Linked DNA regions of Neodiprion lecontei. The protein of the gene in region 1 purifies or fractionates together with the protein of each later gene. This does not show direct contact. Links are inferred from orthologs where the notes say so. Each region holds a gene or a part of one and is shown on either strand. Other genes may lie near its edges.

The links.
Region 2: the proteins of membralin (region 1) and signal recognition particle receptor subunit beta purify together in Homo sapiens (affinity purification with mass spectrometry; 3 studies listed by BioGRID and IntAct, counting the BioPlex papers as one, with this or other methods). This does not show direct contact. The link is inferred for Neodiprion lecontei from reciprocal best matches to the Homo sapiens genes TMEM259 and SRPRB.
Region 3: the proteins of membralin (region 1) and E3 ubiquitin-protein ligase RNF185 purify together in Homo sapiens (affinity purification with mass spectrometry; 3 studies listed by BioGRID and IntAct, counting the BioPlex papers as one, with this or other methods). This does not show direct contact. The link is inferred for Neodiprion lecontei from reciprocal best matches to the Homo sapiens genes TMEM259 and RNF185.

The regions. Positions count from the first base shown.
Region 1 is NC_060260.1:40,955,237-40,961,268, reverse strand, and holds the start of membralin, read left to right. Parts: upstream 1-2,387; 5' UTR 2,388-2,922; exon of another isoform or gene 2,923-3,018; intron 3,019-3,103; exon of another isoform or gene 3,104-3,221; intron 3,222-3,506; exon of another isoform or gene 3,507-3,798; intron 3,799-3,851; 5' UTR 3,852-4,149; coding exon 4,150-4,536; intron 4,537-5,431; coding exon 5,432-5,667; intron 5,668-5,810; coding exon 5,811-6,032. Other genes in the region: UBX domain-containing protein 6, read left to right, coding at 1-389, 477-772, 852-1,242. UniProt on the Homo sapiens protein: May have a role in the ERAD pathway required for clearance of misfolded proteins in the endoplasmic reticulum (ER). Promotes survival of motor neurons, probably by protecting against ER stress.
Region 2 is NC_060261.1:37,092,149-37,098,081, forward strand, and holds signal recognition particle receptor subunit beta, read left to right. Parts: upstream 1-2,699; 5' UTR 2,700-2,796; coding exon 2,797-2,896; exon of another isoform or gene 2,897-3,588; coding exon 3,589-3,755; intron 3,756-3,881; coding exon 3,882-4,021; intron 4,022-4,319; coding exon 4,320-4,659; 3' UTR 4,660-4,853; downstream 4,854-5,933. UniProt on the Homo sapiens protein: Component of the signal recognition particle (SRP) complex receptor (SR). Ensures, in conjunction with the SRP complex, the correct targeting of the nascent secretory proteins to the endoplasmic reticulum membrane system.
Region 3 is NC_060262.1:22,952,482-22,958,789, reverse strand, and holds the start of E3 ubiquitin-protein ligase RNF185, read right to left. Parts: upstream 3,844-6,308; 5' UTR 3,763-3,843; coding exon 3,751-3,762; exon of another isoform or gene 3,362-3,750; intron 893-3,361; coding exon 732-892; intron 75-731; coding exon 1-74. UniProt on the Homo sapiens protein: E3 ubiquitin-protein ligase that regulates selective mitochondrial autophagy by mediating 'Lys-63'-linked polyubiquitination of BNIP1.

The DNA.
Region 1 (6,032 bases):
CACAAGTCAAACGAGAACTGGAGGCGGAGAGAAAAGCGGCGAGTAATGAGGCAAAGGAAATCGCGCTGCCAAAGGAGCAGAAAATCCCACAGGAGGTCGAGGCAAACCCGCTGCTCGCTGTACGCGGGGTTTATTTTCGCTGTCCGATTATTTCTGACGAAATATTAACCAGGGACGAGTGGAAGAGCAAGATTCGACAGTTCCTTTACGAGCAGCTCAATTACGAGGAGCCCGGACTCACCGCCTGCCTCATCATTCATAGTTGTAATGCCGGGAAAGAAAAGGTTGAACAGTGTGTCGAAACCATGTGCAAGTACCTTGAAAATATCATCAATAATCCGGGGGAGGAGAAATACTGGAAAATACGAATGTCCAATCGGGTATTTCAGGTGTGTAGAAGGGTTGGAATAACAATGTAAGATACCCGAATCGAATGATTTCTTCGTGAATTTAAGCGATACCTGTTCAATGTGTAGGACAAAGTGAAGCCCGTCGAGGGTGCCTTGCAGCTGTTTAAAGCCGCTGGGTTTGAGATGGTCAAACTAGCGCATCAGGAACAGGAAGAGGACTTCCTGGTTTGGAATCCGGAAAAATCTTCGATCGAGCAAGTCGGTATACTGGTTGATGCTCTGAGGACGGCAGAGCCCGTTCGAATTGAGTTGGACAGAAACTTACAAGTCTTACTGCCCAGTCAGGCAGCGAAAAGAAACGAATTACCTCCAATTTTCTTCACCATATCGCCGGAGGAGATTAAGAAGGAGCATCAGCTCAGGTGCGCCACTATTTTTCTTATTTTGGCTTGAAAATATAGCAGTTGACACGTATTGGCAAAAATTTATTTCATAGCACAGGTCTGAAGCGGTAGCAAAGAGTCAAATTCTCCGTACGAAGGCGATGCGGGAAAAAGAGGAATTGCGAGAAATGAAGAAATACCGTTACGCCTTGATACGGGTGCGTTTCCCGGACGGGGTAATGCTTCAAGGCACCTTCGCGGTTTACGAAAGGGTCGAGAACGTCGTAGAATTTGTCAGAGAGAATTTGATCAGTGACGAGATACCGTTCGTTTTAACAACGCCGACGGGTCATCGTCTCGGGAATGAAGACTATGAAAAGACCTTGGTTGACAACAGACTGGTCCCCGCATCAATACTGAATTTCAGCTGGGATACGGAGATTTTAGATACCAAGGGACCCACCGAATATCTCAAAGAAGAAATTATCTGCCTGATACAGTCCACGTAAGCCTCCTCACCCTAGTCGAGCTATGATTTTATCGTCATCACCTTCCACTCGACAATGGTAAGCACGGACACTCTAGTTTCACACGAAGCGAAGTTTGGAGTCTTTGTTATTGTTCAAGCTATAGAAAAATCAAATTCTAACACATTGGTAGAAAACGATGCAACAAATTAACAAAATTTTCGATTTTGAATGAGTTAATGGGTGACCATTGTGCTCACGGTGCTGATTGATTGTAGACATCGTCGCGTTCCGCCGTCTCACACACGGTTTGGTTCTGTTTTTGATATTCTACAAGACGATGAAACTGAAATCAATACGCAAGGGAAAAAAGAAACTTGAAACTGAATAGATCAATTAAAGACGGAGACAATATTCTCTGCTGTCTGACGTCGAATTATGACATGCTTACGTCTTATTATACCTTTTAATAGAAATGTCCCCCCTAATAATGCGAATAACGGGATGTTTTGCTGAATGATTGCCAGGGGTAAATGCAACACTATGGACATACAGGTATTGTACACTATTGATAGCAAAATATTCTCTTTGTAATTGAATCCATACTTGTTAAAAAAGGAAAAAAAAAAAAGACGATTGGAATAAATATCACGTTTTATTTTCATTTCTGTACTATGTGCTCATCATTTTTTCTTGTACACTTTGTCTCCTACCCAGTTCGGTCAATCGTGTAGAACCAGAGAATTTAGACAGGCTAAAATTTCTTGAGCGTCATTCAAAAGAGTGGTAATTCAATTAGACTACAGTTTAATGTAAGCTGGGATCAAAAATATGAAACATCAAGGAATACTCTTGTTACAAATGGTCTAGATTTATACACCGCTTTTCTTCAACCCATCATTAGACTGCCCACGATATCAACTCGTAAGAACGGCGTAGAAAAGAATTTTATTCAACTTTTTCCACTGATGGGTCTGCATGAATACGAAGTGGGCCAATGTCAAATTCTATTCCACATGTTCGATACTATATCGAGGCACCTTGAAATCATAATCAGCGCGTAAGTCCGCCTTGTCACAGGCAACCACCTCAGACTCAAGGAATAGGTAGCGTCCTCGGTGGGAATTAACGAAACTGTTTCGTCGCAGACCACAGCAGGCTGGTCAGCCACCGGTATTAGTGATAAATTTCAATTGGTGGATGAGAAGAACCCATGAATCGACAACCGTAATCACGATTAGCCAACGGCAAAGTCCGCTTCGATAGAAGTACGTCGCGTCGACGACTTGTCAGAGAGAAAGTAAAATTCTAAAAAGAAGCACCAAAACCACGGGGACTTTTTATCGTGCGATGAAAGGCGGTTGGCAAGGCTGCTGAGAACCGTCTGCGTCGTGTGTCAAAACATATGACGATAAGGCGAGGATTTTGACGAACCTAGAAATTTGTAACAAAAATTTGTACAAACGTCGGCATAGCGGGTAATAAAAACCGACGACATCGAAGGGTCGAAACAGCGAGTTCGTCGAGGGTGCGGCGGACCTCGTCGAGCGAAAATACCTGGCTGGCATAGGGCTGAAAGGTGCGCGGAGGTACGTAGCCTGACTTGACTCAGTTTTCTCGTGTATGTGACGTGTGTGGAGGTAGGTAGATAGGTAGGTGGACAGGTAGATTCATAGGCATCACTTCTCGTCGCACGCTTATCGGAACACACCATTATTGCACGTAAATATTTGTATTTGTAATTTTCCCCCGTTCTTGTCTCACAACCGAGAACTTGTTCGCGCACTTCCTCCGTCTTGGCAAACGACTCGAATTGTCTTCGTTGTACGAAAAGCTGGGAAGACTCGCCGCATGCTGCAGGCAGGTCCGTCCGTGTGACTGGTTCGCTCCGTAGTCCAGGCCGCACGGATCCGTGGTTGACAGTTCGATAGCTGCATGATTAGCGGTATTGAAAATAGCAGAGTCACCCGTGGTCGATGGATGACGATTATTCCGTTGCGATAATTACGTAACTAAGAAACGTACGTTGGTCTTCACTTAGCTATTCAGTGTATCAGCGGCGGCGGGGCTGTCCTATGGTTTTCGTAGGACACCAGCAGCACCAGCTGCACCAGTCTGTTGCTCTTCCGCGTTTCTAAATATTTCATATTACATACCGTTCGTTCGATACTGGAATGCATTGCCGCGGTGTCGTCTAGATGCTTCATCCTCGACTCTATACACCTTCTCGCTCTTTCTCCGCGCTTATTTTTTTTCTCTTCGGTTTCCCATCACGATCAGTCAGTTCTTTTATTGCCTGTTTTCTTTTACAAATACTTTGAAAATTATATCGAAATACGATAACACGTTCTCTCGGGAAAGTGTTAGCACTGCAGTTATGTGTACGCGTGTGCGTGCGTTTTGTATCCGTATTTAATACTGCGCTGTCATTGCCACGTGATCGCCGCGATGTGACGAATGGTTTTTTTATTACATTTTTTAAATATTTGTTTCATTAAAATACCACATTGAAGAATTGAATATTAATCCATTGGCAATCCGAGGAGTTGTGATGTACCTACCGACGATTAACAATGGCCATAATTGTTAAACGATAAGGTGAATATATGATTTACTTTAGGGAAACATTTCTTTCCCAAACATTGTTTCAGGAGCATCTCGCCGGCGGTGTCCGGAGCTACGCTCCCTACCCCGGATCGTCGGAAATGTTATACCGGACGAAAAAGCGTGCGGGAAACAAGTCAACCCGGTCCTATACGATGATTGGTTGTCGGCTTTGAAAATAATTTAAAAAACGCGACAAAAGACGGGGTCCGAGACGACGACGACGACGACACACTGACAATTATTTTACGCAACGAAAGAATAATAAGAATATCGATAATAATAGAGATAAAAGAAACGATAAGATAAGAGGGTAATAATTACCGAATCGTTTAATATTGCAAAATGTCAGAAATCGACGCAGCACCGCCACCGGAAGTACCGGACAACCCTGAGAGCCGGGTAACTGTTACTCCTTCGACATCATCATCGTCATCATCACCCTCGTCGATAGCTTCGACGGCACCGACACCACCGCCCCTGCCACCTGTTCCACCAGTTAATACCGTCAACGGCATAGTCGGGGCGGATAATAATCACGGACTTGCAGCGGCCATTGGGCCCTTGAATAATAACAATATGAACAGGGCGAGGAACAACAATAATCAAAATCCACTATTCAATGTTCGGGACAGGCTATTTCATGCCCTCTTCATCAAGGCCGCCCTTGCCTACGCCAGAGCCTTCCCCAGACCTATTCGACGATTTATTGAATTTATCGTATTGCTCAAGGTAACTCTCATTATATTAGTACGACATTAACCATTCTATTTCTTTATATAATTTACATGTTTCGAAATTTTTCTTCAACTTCCGAAACTTGCCTTCCGTCTTGTAATGTGGAAATATCTCCATGCCAGTTTCTGAGACATTGTTATTATTATTATTATTTTTAGAGAATATTCCGTAGAAGATGTCCGAATTTGCGTGTACTAAAATGAAAAAACCCACAGCCAAGAGTTTGAACGCACATTTTAATGTTTGCATTCTTCCACTCCGTCGATTTACACATATCTACCAAGAGCAGGTGCAGAGCGCGGTTATACTTATTGGATTGATCTATACGCAGCAGTGATGGCGGTCAAGGGTTTATTCAAAGATGTCTATAAGGGCATCGTTCAAGTAGAATTTCTTAGAACAGAGAAAGTATTTACGAGTAATTCAAAGCACGCGTTAGTTCAGCAAAGGGTCGCGAGATCTCGGAGAAATTGGGCAAATAGCGGCGAACATAACGGAAATTAGAACCAGTACTCGCCGGATTTCTGCTTTGGATAATGTCGTGTGACGGAATTCTAGACGTGCGCAGTTTTTTTTAAATTACTTCATATCGGGTTAGCGGGGAAGAATGCGAATGCAGTTGTTCAAGCAGTAGCGGAGTTGTAATTATAAAACGTTGTAAAGTGGTAACTGCAAATTTACGAAACCTTATTTAAAGTTTGTATTACTTCCCGCGATCTTCAAAAAGATATCGCGAAGATATTTCGAATTCAGTCGAATGCTTCCCCGAATACTTGCTGTTATCAAACGGAGTCCTCCGTTGTTAGATACTTGTTACATCCCGGCGCTATCCCCCGTGCTTGCCTCCGAATGAATTGCAGTTTAAAATTGTTAATTTGTATCGTTTCAGGCAATAACGTCATTTTTCGTGCTGGCATACATCCACATAGTGTTTTCCCGAGCACCAACCAACTGTTTGGAACACATAAGAGACGACTGGCCTCGAGATGGTATTCTGAGAGTTGAGATCCTCAGAAATGGCGCTGAAGATTATACCATAGAAAAGAGTTACGCCAAGGAGGAGAAGTTGAGGCAGGAAAAAGTCGATGACCTCGCTAGCGTATTAGGAATTTTAGCTAGAGATGGGTAGGTCTTCTCCGATATATTTCGAATATATCTCACTATTTAATTGCACAGCATATATTCAAAGAGAAGTAGCGAAAAAAAAATGCAAAATGAATAATAATCGCACGAAGGTTTTTATTCTGATTCCTCTAATATTTGAACAGATCATTTTTGAACATCGAACCTTCGACTGTCGAGGAAGACGCACAGGGAAATGCTGAGGCGGAAAGCGAAAACGTTGCTAAGAATTTCACGCAAACAGACGCCAACGTTGAAATTGGAAGTCTGTCTGTTACTGGCGATGTGCAAAGCCCGAATTTAAGTACAACGAACGCGACGATAAGTCCGCCATTATCAACGAAGCTGTGGGATGGTCCAAGTAATGC
Region 2 (5,933 bases), on another chromosome or scaffold:
GCTCGAATGAAATAAATATCCCGTAATGGCAAAAGTGCATTTCGATGATTTAAACGTTCAATTTGTTTGCCAAGTGCAGCGTGGTCTGTCTGTTCCCCGTTATGCCATAAAAGAGCATGGGCAGAAACTCATTAATAAGCAATAATATCCTGTCAATGCATTTCTGATCGATATGGACATCCCGCTGAGTCCGATCTCGCGACTGCAATTGCAGTCTGCTGGCAAAAAATCGTGCGACGAATAAGATTCGGACCGCATGCATGCGAGTATCCCTGGTGATATCGGATCGGCGGTTTCTCAGGGTGCGCAGAATTGACGAAAAAAAAAAAAAAAGAATCTTTTTACAGAATATAATCGCAACGAGAATTTGTCGCATTATGCAACTTTACATCTGCAAGTAAGTTTGGCGCGAGAGCTGCTGCATCTCGATCGGCTCGCTTATTCCCACGGGATCCTGCGAGATCAGAATCCAGATCTCCAAATAACTGCTACCGCCTCTGGAGGACTGTATGTCCGCAGCTTCAACCATATTCCACAGAATCGAGTGTCCCGCAGTCTCTTCGAAAAAGACGTTCACCCACCGCTGTTTGCAAGCGGAGAGAGCATTTCGCGAGTTCATACTACGGCGCCGATATTTTGCAGTGCAATAAATTCGAGAGTCACGCGACTCCGTCGGATGCTGAGATAGCTCGGCAAAATTTGTACTCTCTAGCAATTTTCTTCTCGCGCTTATGTCTGAAAAGATTGTGATACGTATGTTCGAATCCGTAACTTTGAGCTGCTCGCCAAGCAAAGATAATGCGGATATCCCTTTCTTCGATAGCATGAAACTAGAAATTCATTTTTCTTTTCATCGATCGTTAGACACACGGGACCGAAAATGTCTGTTATCACTCGTTTGTCAAGTTCAACTCATGTTGACTTCGTTAAAACTATTTTATACGGGAATAATTTTCTCTCATAGTTGTGGGACTTGACGGAATTGTGATCTTCTAAGTTGTGGAATAATTATACGCCGCCTACCCGTACTGGATACCCTTCATTACCCGAAACCATACACATAGGAGTCGACCAACTTCCCCTCTATTCATCGACTTTCCCTCAGTAAAGGATCCTTTCATCCAATATTTGGCCAGACATCCCCAAGTGGGACATGTGTTTAGAATCACTCAGCGACAGCAGGTGCGACCTGCCTCCCTCGAGTGTAGTACACACATTATAACACTCCACACGTGAATTTACGGGTGGTCCATCCCCAAAAACGTGCGAGCGTTGTGGCGGCGACGGCGGCGGCATGGCAGCAGCAGCAGCAGCAAGACCGTGTGTTTGTTGTCTCCTACCCCTATATACGGCGCAGCAAAGCGGCGAGCAGGCTTGGTGATTGTTTATTTTGCTTTCCAATATTTTTTAGACAGAGGTCTGGTTTTCAAAAGAGCAACGGAACCATGAAGAATGGCCTGCGATACGTGAGTGCCCTGGATAGAATATGCCTGTAACATACGTATAACGGATATGCGACGACGGAGCTGCTGTCCAACAGACACGAATCCACGCTTATGTACATTTCCCAACAGAGACTGAATGAGGCAAATTATTGGGGTAAATAATATTCACACAGAAACTCCCTTTCAATATTCATTCACTAAGGTCCCTCTAATGATGTACGAAAAAGAAAATTCTTGTCTTCTCTAAAATATTATTTGAATACATACATTTATATATATGTATATATATTTCTTATATATATATATATATATATACATAGGCAGTCACATACAGGAATAAACAGCCTGTTCATTGCTGACGAGTACCCGATTTTCATTGTATTTGTTTCTTTTTTAAGAATTGTTTAAAGAACAATAAGACAGCAGTTCCTAACTGTAATCTTATAAAAAGATGAAATAAAAGTAAAATTTAATTATTTGCAATACCACAAACAGTACCGCGCCGTAACGGTAATGCATATGAAATAAAATATTTCAAATTGATCACTGTTTTGGTACATCTTACAGTTGTAATACAAACATATTGTAGAAACAGCAACGCAACTCAATTTCAGACTCATAAAAATTTACATGGAACGGAAGACGATTCAGCTAATTATTAAAGTATACGATCAAACATTCGAATATTCGAAGACCCATCTTGGCAGGCTTGTTATTTCAAGTGTCATTCGAAAATATCAGTTAAATGGTATGTTATTATAACACGAAACGGATTTCGAAAGGTAGCAGTACCATTCGGTATAACGCTTGAACGCACACGATTTCAAGAGTATTATTTGTAACGAAATTCAAACTGTCACATTTGTAACATTTTCGTACCCAGAATGAACTTGCATAATATTTCAATACCATTAGAAAATGGATTTACTGTTCGATTCAATCTATTAAATTAATACGTATGTGTAAGAAAAGGTAAAATTCTGCATTAAAGTATTAAATAAATAAATTTCTTGTTCAGGCTTTCAATATGCACATTTGAATTAAGTAGAGTCCCAGAGTTGGGAAATTTGGATCAGAAGCAAGCTCTATCTGTACATCAAGACGAATCAACCGGGGATTACAGTTAGTCTCTTGGTAACACAGAATTATCGGTAAGGTAAGGATCTGTTTCACCTTCTACGCTCTGCAGTACCAACAGACGCAGAGTATTTTGTTGGATAATGTTGGGTCAGGTTAAATCACGTAGTTGCACATTCTGCCACACGCAAAGCGAGACTCGAGGTGACATTTACACCATATGCACCCACGTTTAGTTCAGTAGTGAAAATATCGCAATTAAACACGGTCCAGGATGGGGAACAAACGTGGAGAGACGCTGACACTCGAGAACAATGAAAACACACAATTTATTGGAATGCTCGTTGCTGTGTTTACCATATTTATCACGCTAGGTATAATATTACATGAAATAGATTAGTCTTAGGTTATGATTTTCGACAAATTATTGTGTTTCGGTGTGCACCGTTCCCGCTAATGCACCGCATTCAATTTACACAAGTACATAACATTTGAACATGTAAACATGCGCATTTTGTTACTAATATTGAAAAATCTCGTTGCTGCACGAATTTATATAATACGATTCGATCTATATATAGACAATTAATCTCAGAGAGATAAGAGTAACAACAATTTTATGCATAATGTATGTACGTGGCATATGGTAAGATGATATATTGGCATTTCTTCCAACAATGCAGGTTGTATCAAGCTAAATTAATATCGTGCCATTAAAAGCATAGATCTCATATTAAAACAATATCATAGAATTTACAATAGTTATAAAATAGTATTAAAATAGTGAATAAAAAGAAAACAACTCTAGCTTCGTGATTGTGTACATAATAACAAAATAGATACATTATTGGAAATTGAAATATCGATTTCTTCCGTAGAGTCAAAAAAGAAATTAACTGTACACAATTTGTAACAAAATTTCTTGTTTACAAATCCACAGTTTTATAACAACGACATCGACTTGAGCAATAATCATGTAAAAATATATATAGTTACATTGTTTTATTCAACCTAACTAATGATCTACATACTTTTAAAAATATGTGGCATCATTTTATTATTTTAGTTGTATTTGCTGTATGGCGTAGGAGAAGATCCGTTGGCCGAAGCCTGATCTTGGCAGGGCTTAGTAACGCTGGAAAAACATTGCTGTACGCTCGGCTCCTTCATTCCAAATATGTCGCGACACACACCTCTGTTAAAGAAAATATCGGGGACGTTACCATCAATAACGTAAATTTGAAACTAGACTTATTTCATGATTGCAATTTTTTCCAGATTTTTAGACTAATGTGCTATGCTGTAAAACATAAAATACTAGACAGAATAAATCTACTCTTCTCTTCTTTTTTTTTTCAGAGCGCTTTGCGAATTGTTGACATTCCTGGTCACGAGCGACTGAGGCAAAAGTTTTTTGACAATTACAAGTCTTCAATAAGAGGATTAGTCTATGTCATTGATTCAGTGACCATACAAAAAGACGTCAGAGATGTTGCCGAGTAAGTACATAGTGAATTACCGTATTGTTCCGAGTACAAGACGGCCCTCAATTCTGAGACAGTATTTCAAGGTAGTTTTTTAGTTACCCGCACATCAGACAACTCCGCATATAAAACAAGGTCAATTTTGGGCAGGTGCTGTCAACGACAAAAAACCTCCGCTTATATTCGGAACAATACGGCATACCATCATTTCCAATTAATTTCTCACGATTATGAATAGACTCCTCTTCAGCATTAATCAACTGTGATAAAACTTCGCCATTCCTGTACAGTTTAAATTTCTTATCTGTTACAGATATTTATATACGCTCCTGTCTGATCCTACGATTCAAAAAAATGGAACCCCCGTGTTAATTTTGTGCAATAAGCAAGATCAAACAACAGCCAAGGGATGCAGTGTGATTAAATCTTTACTTGAAAAAGAAATTAATTTGCTTAGGGTAACAAAAACTAATCAGTTAGAGACTACGGATGCCTCTTCGTCAAATTTTTATCTTGGCAAACAAGGTAAAGATTTTGAGTTTATTCATCTAGGCTCGAAAGTTGATTTTGCTGAAGCCAGTGCATTCGATAAAGATTCTGAGACTTCTGCTGACATTGAACAATTGGATATCTGGCTACAAAAGATAGCTTAGTACTTGAGATCTCATAAATCATGCTTACACCATATCGTTTCATTGGCTGTATCGAATCTACACGATTATTGACACAATATGCACATGGCCATATACGTATTTTGCAACATGAATAATAATTTTTAACTTTTTTTTCTATTCATTATTATATTGCTTTATTTCAGAATACATATTGCGTTTATTACTTAAATACATCATTACTGCCTTTAATTTGATTTGATATAAGTCGTGCTATCTGTAAGTTACAATTTTTACTCTAAAAATAAAAATTAATTACATTTAAAAAAAAGAAAATCATAAAAGAAATAGCGTTACGTTTTTGCAATGGTAAAAACAATGTTGCAACTTTGATGGGGGGATGAGAATCACTTTGTATACTATGCAGAAGACTTGCCTACCTCAAATTTTTTATAGTTTACATGGAAGTTATTCACCTACCAGAATTTTTAACTACCAAGCTTCAAAGCCTTAGCTTACACCAATAAATTATACAAGTATTAAATCTCTACGAGAAATACATAAAAACTAAAATGTTTATTACTTTAAGGAAACTCATAAAACTTTCACTGAATTTTGAAAATCGAAAATTAGTCATCTAAGATCAATAGGGGAAAATCCGAACATCAATTTCCACGTGGTAAGCCGTCCGTCATATTTACAGATGATATCTACTGTTTACCGACGCATGCTGCGACGTTGCCAGATTTACGAACGTCAAGTTGAAGTTTATATTATTGCTTCAATAGCTAAATTATGACCAATTACTGAGCGGTAAAACTTTATTGATTACGGAATACCTTTGAAGTGATGTAGAAGATTCGTATTTACATGACTCAACCCACGGTCAACTCAGCTTACCGCCGTGTTTATGTTTCACGAATAAATGTTACAGACACTAATAGTAAGCCCACGAATGAACCTGCAGTCAGTATTATACACATGTCACGAGTCGTGAAGAGCCCGAGAAGGCACGACTTAATTTTTCCGAACATCCGTGCGCTTTAATTCTTTTCCGAATTAATGAATCAGCCGAAGTATTAAACATGATATCGCATCTTTCGACAAACGTATCAACGCTTCGGCGCGCGACTGCGATCTTGTCTCAAAGCCGACAGTCAGCTGTTCAATACAGTCCAGCTAGATGACAACACACTTTGCAACGTGAATATGATCGATATTCTCGAAAACTTACCGACACGAAGTAAGGTGATGTTCCCTGACATGTTGACACAAAGATTGTTCGAATACCAACTTGAACATGGTAGACAGTGTAT
Region 3 (6,308 bases), on another chromosome or scaffold:
TAATCGCAGCCTTACAGACAGGACAAAGTTGCCTTGCGGGTCGAGTTTCTAGCCATTGATAAAGGCATGGCCAGCTGGAATTTGTTTTTCTTACTTCAGATTATATTGTATTTGAGCAGTAAATGAAAATTATTAATAACCATTGTGTCTTTCCAACGAAATCTGACCATAGGTTTAGAGCCGACCTTTGTTTTCAATGTTTATTTTATAACAACACCATTTAAACTCACGATTTCAACACCAAAATAGTAATACTTACAATAACATTTTGTTTTTAGAATTTGAACCGTGGATAAAGAAGTGATAAAAGCAGCAATTTTCATTAATATTGTGGAAAAAAAAAATGATTCCATATGTGCCTACTACAAAGATGTGATTTGAAAGAAAGTGGTTTTATCAAATATTTGGCACAAATTTTCAAAATATCATAGCACAAAAGAGCTATATTGTGGTATTTGGTAAGACCATAGGATTGCCTTTATTTTTTTAATCACAAATTTTAGCTGTAGGATTTCAATTTTTCCGTTACATATATACTATTTTTTTCAGAAGATTCTAATGAAGGAAGTCATTACCAAGAACGTGATTCTACATGTCATGTCATCTTAATACAGGTGAGTTTTGCAGTGTATCATGTGCATTTGTTGAGTTTCGACTTCTTAGTATCATGTTGGCTATCCTCTGTTCAAAGCCTAACAACAGATTTTGTTATCATGAATCTTCATGTTTACCAAAATAAATGTCCGCACATGCTGACCACAGCATCTTTAGCTGTATCCAGACATATATTGCACTCGAACATGCGTTCATCCCTTTCTTTTTCCTCCTGCGCTGACCCCGAAGGCTTCGACGGCCCGGGCTGTTCTTTCGCGGTGCTCATCTCAGCTAGCTCCTTTTCGAAAAAGCGAACAACGAATTATATTAGTAAACTGCTTTACAAAGAAATCTAAAAACATACTTTGGCATAAACTCTGCCTTTACTTGTTTCATTGAATAGCATCAACTGTTTTTTTGTGAAGTTAATATATTGAACAACAAAATTAATTCAAATTTTCACCATCACTTAGTAATATGACAGTAATTTTCAAATAAAAGTATTTGCAATTAATAACAAATTCTATTCAAAAGTAAAAGACATCTGGTGAGAAACGAAGAACATAAAATTCGATGATAATATCAAACAATAATATTGTTCAATTTTATTCCGTCAATCGCATGTATATCATGTTACACTGTGCAGTTTGACATGACTGCTGGAGCGGCATATAGGCCAGAATGATATTTATCGTTAAAAATATGGAAACGGTAAGGTTCACGGCATCTAGCACATTGAATTTACAAAGTATAAATAATTGAGTATGCGATGTTCTATCACGATTTCCTGAATTCGGAAAATTCTAAAGCCTGAAATATGATGAGTTTTTCAAAAAATACATTGTTACACCGATATTAACTTTCACCTCATCAACTGCACTGCAAGCTGATTGAAATTGGCGTTCAAAATACAAATTCATCATGAGACTGCAGTTTTAACCGTGTGGGCAACTACGTGACAATGTTGCATCCTGACCATTTTACAACCATTTCATAGCATACAGGTATAGCATTGAGTTTCCGTAGGATTTCACACCATTTGACAGTATTTCATATATTTCACGACCATTTTACAATATTTCACGAATATTTCATGGTAGCTCTTAGCCACACTATAGTATTTCATGGTACTTTATACTGTTTTATCATGATATGCCTTTGACGTCAAATAAATTTTTTTGGTATGATGTCAATTTCAATGCAAACCACAATTATTAATATAAATCTTTTTCGGAAATTGCAAACGAAATGTTGTGGTTATTCAATCAAAAATGTATTATGTTAACTTTTCCAGAATAAATTATAACAAAAGTATTCCAGACTTTTCCATACCTAAGAAGCAATATTTATGTCCCAAAATAATTCCAGGATTTAGGTAGGTAAATTTAAGAGGCAGAAGATACCCTGAGAATTATAATTGCTTTTTTACTGTTCATCACCTCTAATGATATAAGAGAAATATTGGTTTTGATCGAGAACAACCTATCTTAATTTCAATGAATCTATGTTTTCAGACCTCTAGTGTCCAAAAAATACATTTTTTAAGAAATTCCGGTCTTTCTGTTTGTCCTGACAAACGTCCGCGATGATCTTGAAAAGAGATCGATTGAAAAGTTTGAAATTTAAACAATTTCACATTCAAATGATGTGCATTGCAAATGATTTTAACGTATTTACTAAACGCTTTATACAATGACTTGGATTTTAAGTAAGAAATTATTTTTCAAAGAAAATCTTAATAATTCCCAAGCTTTTACCGCTTTTTCTGATATTCCCATGTATTTAACATTTTGAGATATGTACACAAAGCGAGGTGAGTTTTGATCTGTTCAAGGCCACCAATGTTGTCTGCCACCAACTATTTAACATAAATAGCAGACGACACTGGCAGCCTTGAATTGGTCAGAATCCACCTCGATTTGTGTGCATCATGTACTTCGTTGAAGAACTTTGAAATTTTATAGTCTATCTTTCCAAATATTTGATAAATAATTTATTTACCATCTTGGGTAGAACTGATGATAAATAATAATTTGCAAATATGTGTATAAAAAACAATGTTGACAATATACTTATTGCAAATGTCAAATGACCTGTAAGAAAAATATCGGTATTATCATAAATTTATCGACTATAACTATCAATTTTGATCAGTTGTACATACAATGAGATTATTTTTAAACTTGGTATAAGTTGGTAATGTCATTGTGATAAAAAGAGCTTGCAGTTACATGCATGCACTTTCAGAATAAACTTGTACTATCAAAACTAAATTCAAGGCAGCAATCGTAATAATTTGTGCAACTAGACTGCTATTCTTTTTAATTTTGGTTTGCCTTGATAAAAAAGCCTTACTTTATTACTATGACTATGTTTCTTATTCAATCTGATATTCTTTACTAAAATAGATAAGGATCAGCAGTTATTCAATCTACAACGGTGCTCTAAATTATCTCTTGATTTGGTAAATATTATAGGTGACGAATGGATGTTACATATTTATGCATCAAAATAATGATTAGAAAAGTGGTTTCAAAGGTGGGAATGTTACACCACTGCAATGATTACTGAGTGAGTGTAGAGTTAATTATATTTACAGTATAATAGCTAAAATGAAAGAGAAGAGACTCTACATATGACAGATATTACAATGAATTCGCAACGTTGGGATTAGGAAAACGTCGAAATCTGATAAGATTTACTGAAAACGAGTAGGTGATGATCTTGAAAATAAGACTGACAGAATTTAATTAAATCTATAAATTACCCATATGAAAAGCGACGAAAAATTATCTATCAGCAGAGGTTATGTTTTAGCGAATTAGATTTAGTAAATAATAAATGATTCGAAGAGTTAAAAATTACGACAAGTAGTAACCTTACGGACTGTGAATGGAAATCCAACTGTTTGAAAACACTGATATTGACACCGCAGACACTTCAAAGTTCTTGGCAGACTGCCTGATACGAACTCTTGAATTGCGCAAGTTCTGTAATCTGGCAGATAATTTTCGTTATTTAATGAGAAACGGATGTTCGGAATAACACGTAAACGATGTGCTTGATCGTCAAATCCTGTAAACACTGGTTAGACCGGTCCTAATTTATTCGGTAATGGTGATGACACATAATTGCATGTTGAATATTAACACGTACGCATTTTGACATTTCGAAAAGTGAATTTCACTGTAAGTGATCGATCCAATTAGCAGTAGGTTTTTTGACTAGCACAGTAAAGTACCGAGCATGGAGTAGAAGGAGAAGAAACTAGAATGAAAGTTGATCCCTAGTATAGGTGGCATCGCGGTCTTGTATCAGGTCTAAAAACAAAACCTCATTTCAATGTCGCCGTGTGACTCCGTTACGAGCGAAGCGATCTAATCTAGGGACCTTGTTACGAGCATCTCTATTCTCCTCGTTCGCCCCCAGATGCCTCGCTGCGGTCTAGTAGTATCTCCATTCTCCGACTCTAGTGTCTTCCTAGTTGTTTTATGATGACAAAATAACCACCAGAATTGATGAGCAATCAGAGCATTCTTGCTGCGGTTGCATTCAGCTGTTTGCTGCACGTGAAAAATCAGCCTTAAGGCCGAAGCACACAAAACCAGAAGCCATAAGCAGAATGCAGAAAGTTATTGCGCATGCGCTATGGGTTCTGTAAAAGCCAATTGTGAAATTCAGATTCGATTCATACTGCGCGTAATAAAAGCTCAAGGCCAGAGGTGTAATGTGGCAAAGCATTAACATGCGCTTCTTTGTCGTTGTCGAGAAAATCCACACTGAAATATTCCATCACGTTCAAATACTTTACTACGATAATCATAATTCAATGGTCGCGAGGCGCAGTGGTAAGCTCTCTGGCCCGTCATCCGGTGGTCGCGGGATCGTATCTCGCTATTCGCAACTTTTTTTTTTTTTTTCATTTAATTTTCTTTGTAATCCAATTGTGTGTATATACATAATCCCCGGCAATCAGTTTCAATAATTATGCATATAATAATTTTTTTAAATGCCGTTTGTCGCGGAAAAACCGACGACTTCGAACATCATTATGTTGTTCCCAAACAAAGTTATATTTCAAAAATGTTATCAATTGTTTTCATAATGTTTACCAAGTATAGTTAACGGAAGAAGTATGAACGATGTTCCAAAACGAATACGTGTAGTGGGAATCAAACGCTTAAAACATAACAGTGACTCCTCGAACAAACATTTGCTTCCTGAAATAGAATATAATATGGATTCGTGTTGTTTCATGCAAATAACACTAGAATGTTTGTTCGAGGAGTCACTGTTATGTTTCGAGCGTTAAATCTATTGACTGAGAACCAAAGTGAAAAAAAATCAAACAATTGATCAAAAATCGTATAAAAATTATTCAGTTCGCTATATGATTTTTGATTTATTATATCTGACGATTCGTGCTTTTGTAATTTATTATGAGATTTTTATTTATTTTAACAAATTTACAAAATAAATCATGTATCAAATTACACGTGAATTTCAGTCATTATGTTTTATAATTTAATACTTGACCATTTTCAGTAGGGAAAACGTTTTTTGAATAATCGTTGACTAAAGCTAGTATGTAACGTGCTTCGTTCCAGGAAGGTGTTTCAATTAGTCTGCAAATAGCAATATGCAACAGTTTTAATTTTTCCTTGGCTGATGTCCCTGATAATTTCAATTACTTGCTCGTCGTCTAGTTTTTTTCTGACTCTTGTGCTTGATCCTTTGTGTACTTAGCAATTCATCGGTATTTGAATTTGCACCGCTTTTTTTTTTTATCTCTTTGGCACTGCCGAGTTCGTGAATACCTCTACTTCTGTCCAAGAAAGATTTTATGGCGAATAACTTCTGATATTTGACCGTGCAGCTATCCCTGAAAATATTACAATGAAATGTGGACTGTCCCCCATCCATAATACATACATCAATTAAGGGGGTATTCTAGTCTAAAGGTCTAGTTTTCGGGCATTTTATTGGGCTTGGTGTAAAAAAGAATGAAAATTATTTTAGCACCCATTTTTTTCACGCTCTTTTTATTGGTGATTGAAGAACTTACAGTTGAGTGTTTGTGAAAAAAAAAATTCAAAAAGTTATGGGCCTCTAAATAGAGCCGTGACAAAAAAAATAGATGGGCCGGTTGACACGATTCCATAGTCCTAATTCACATAAAACAGTAAAACCACTTGATCAGTAAGAATTTCGCTATAGCCTGTACCGAAAGGAAAAAAAAACAGAAAATACAAAAATGGCATTTATTTAAAGGTAAAATTAATTTTTTCCCTATTTTTTTTCGTTGTCTTCAATTTTTTGAAGTGATTGCCCGTGGTAGGTACTATAGAGGGATGTATCTGAAGGTTCGTACCAAATTTCAAGTCAATCGGGTGGATAGAACTTGCGATTTCATGTCAACCAGGTCGAAAAATGTAATTTCGAGATAAATGCGTTTAAAGTTTTCGGTTCTTGCTAGTCACAGTTTCTTCATAGACTGATCTTTCTAGCCTCGAACTCTGCTCTATTGAACCGCACCGGCTTCGGGCTAAAATATTCTTAAATGATGTAGCTATAATAAGATGCCTAAAAAATTGATTTTTTCAAATTTCCAGCCTAGAATACCAATTCAAATAAATTTCCCGAGAAATGTACGAATAACGCGCTTACTGAGAAAGCTCCATATATCGTCTTTCACAGTAACGATAATGTCACAT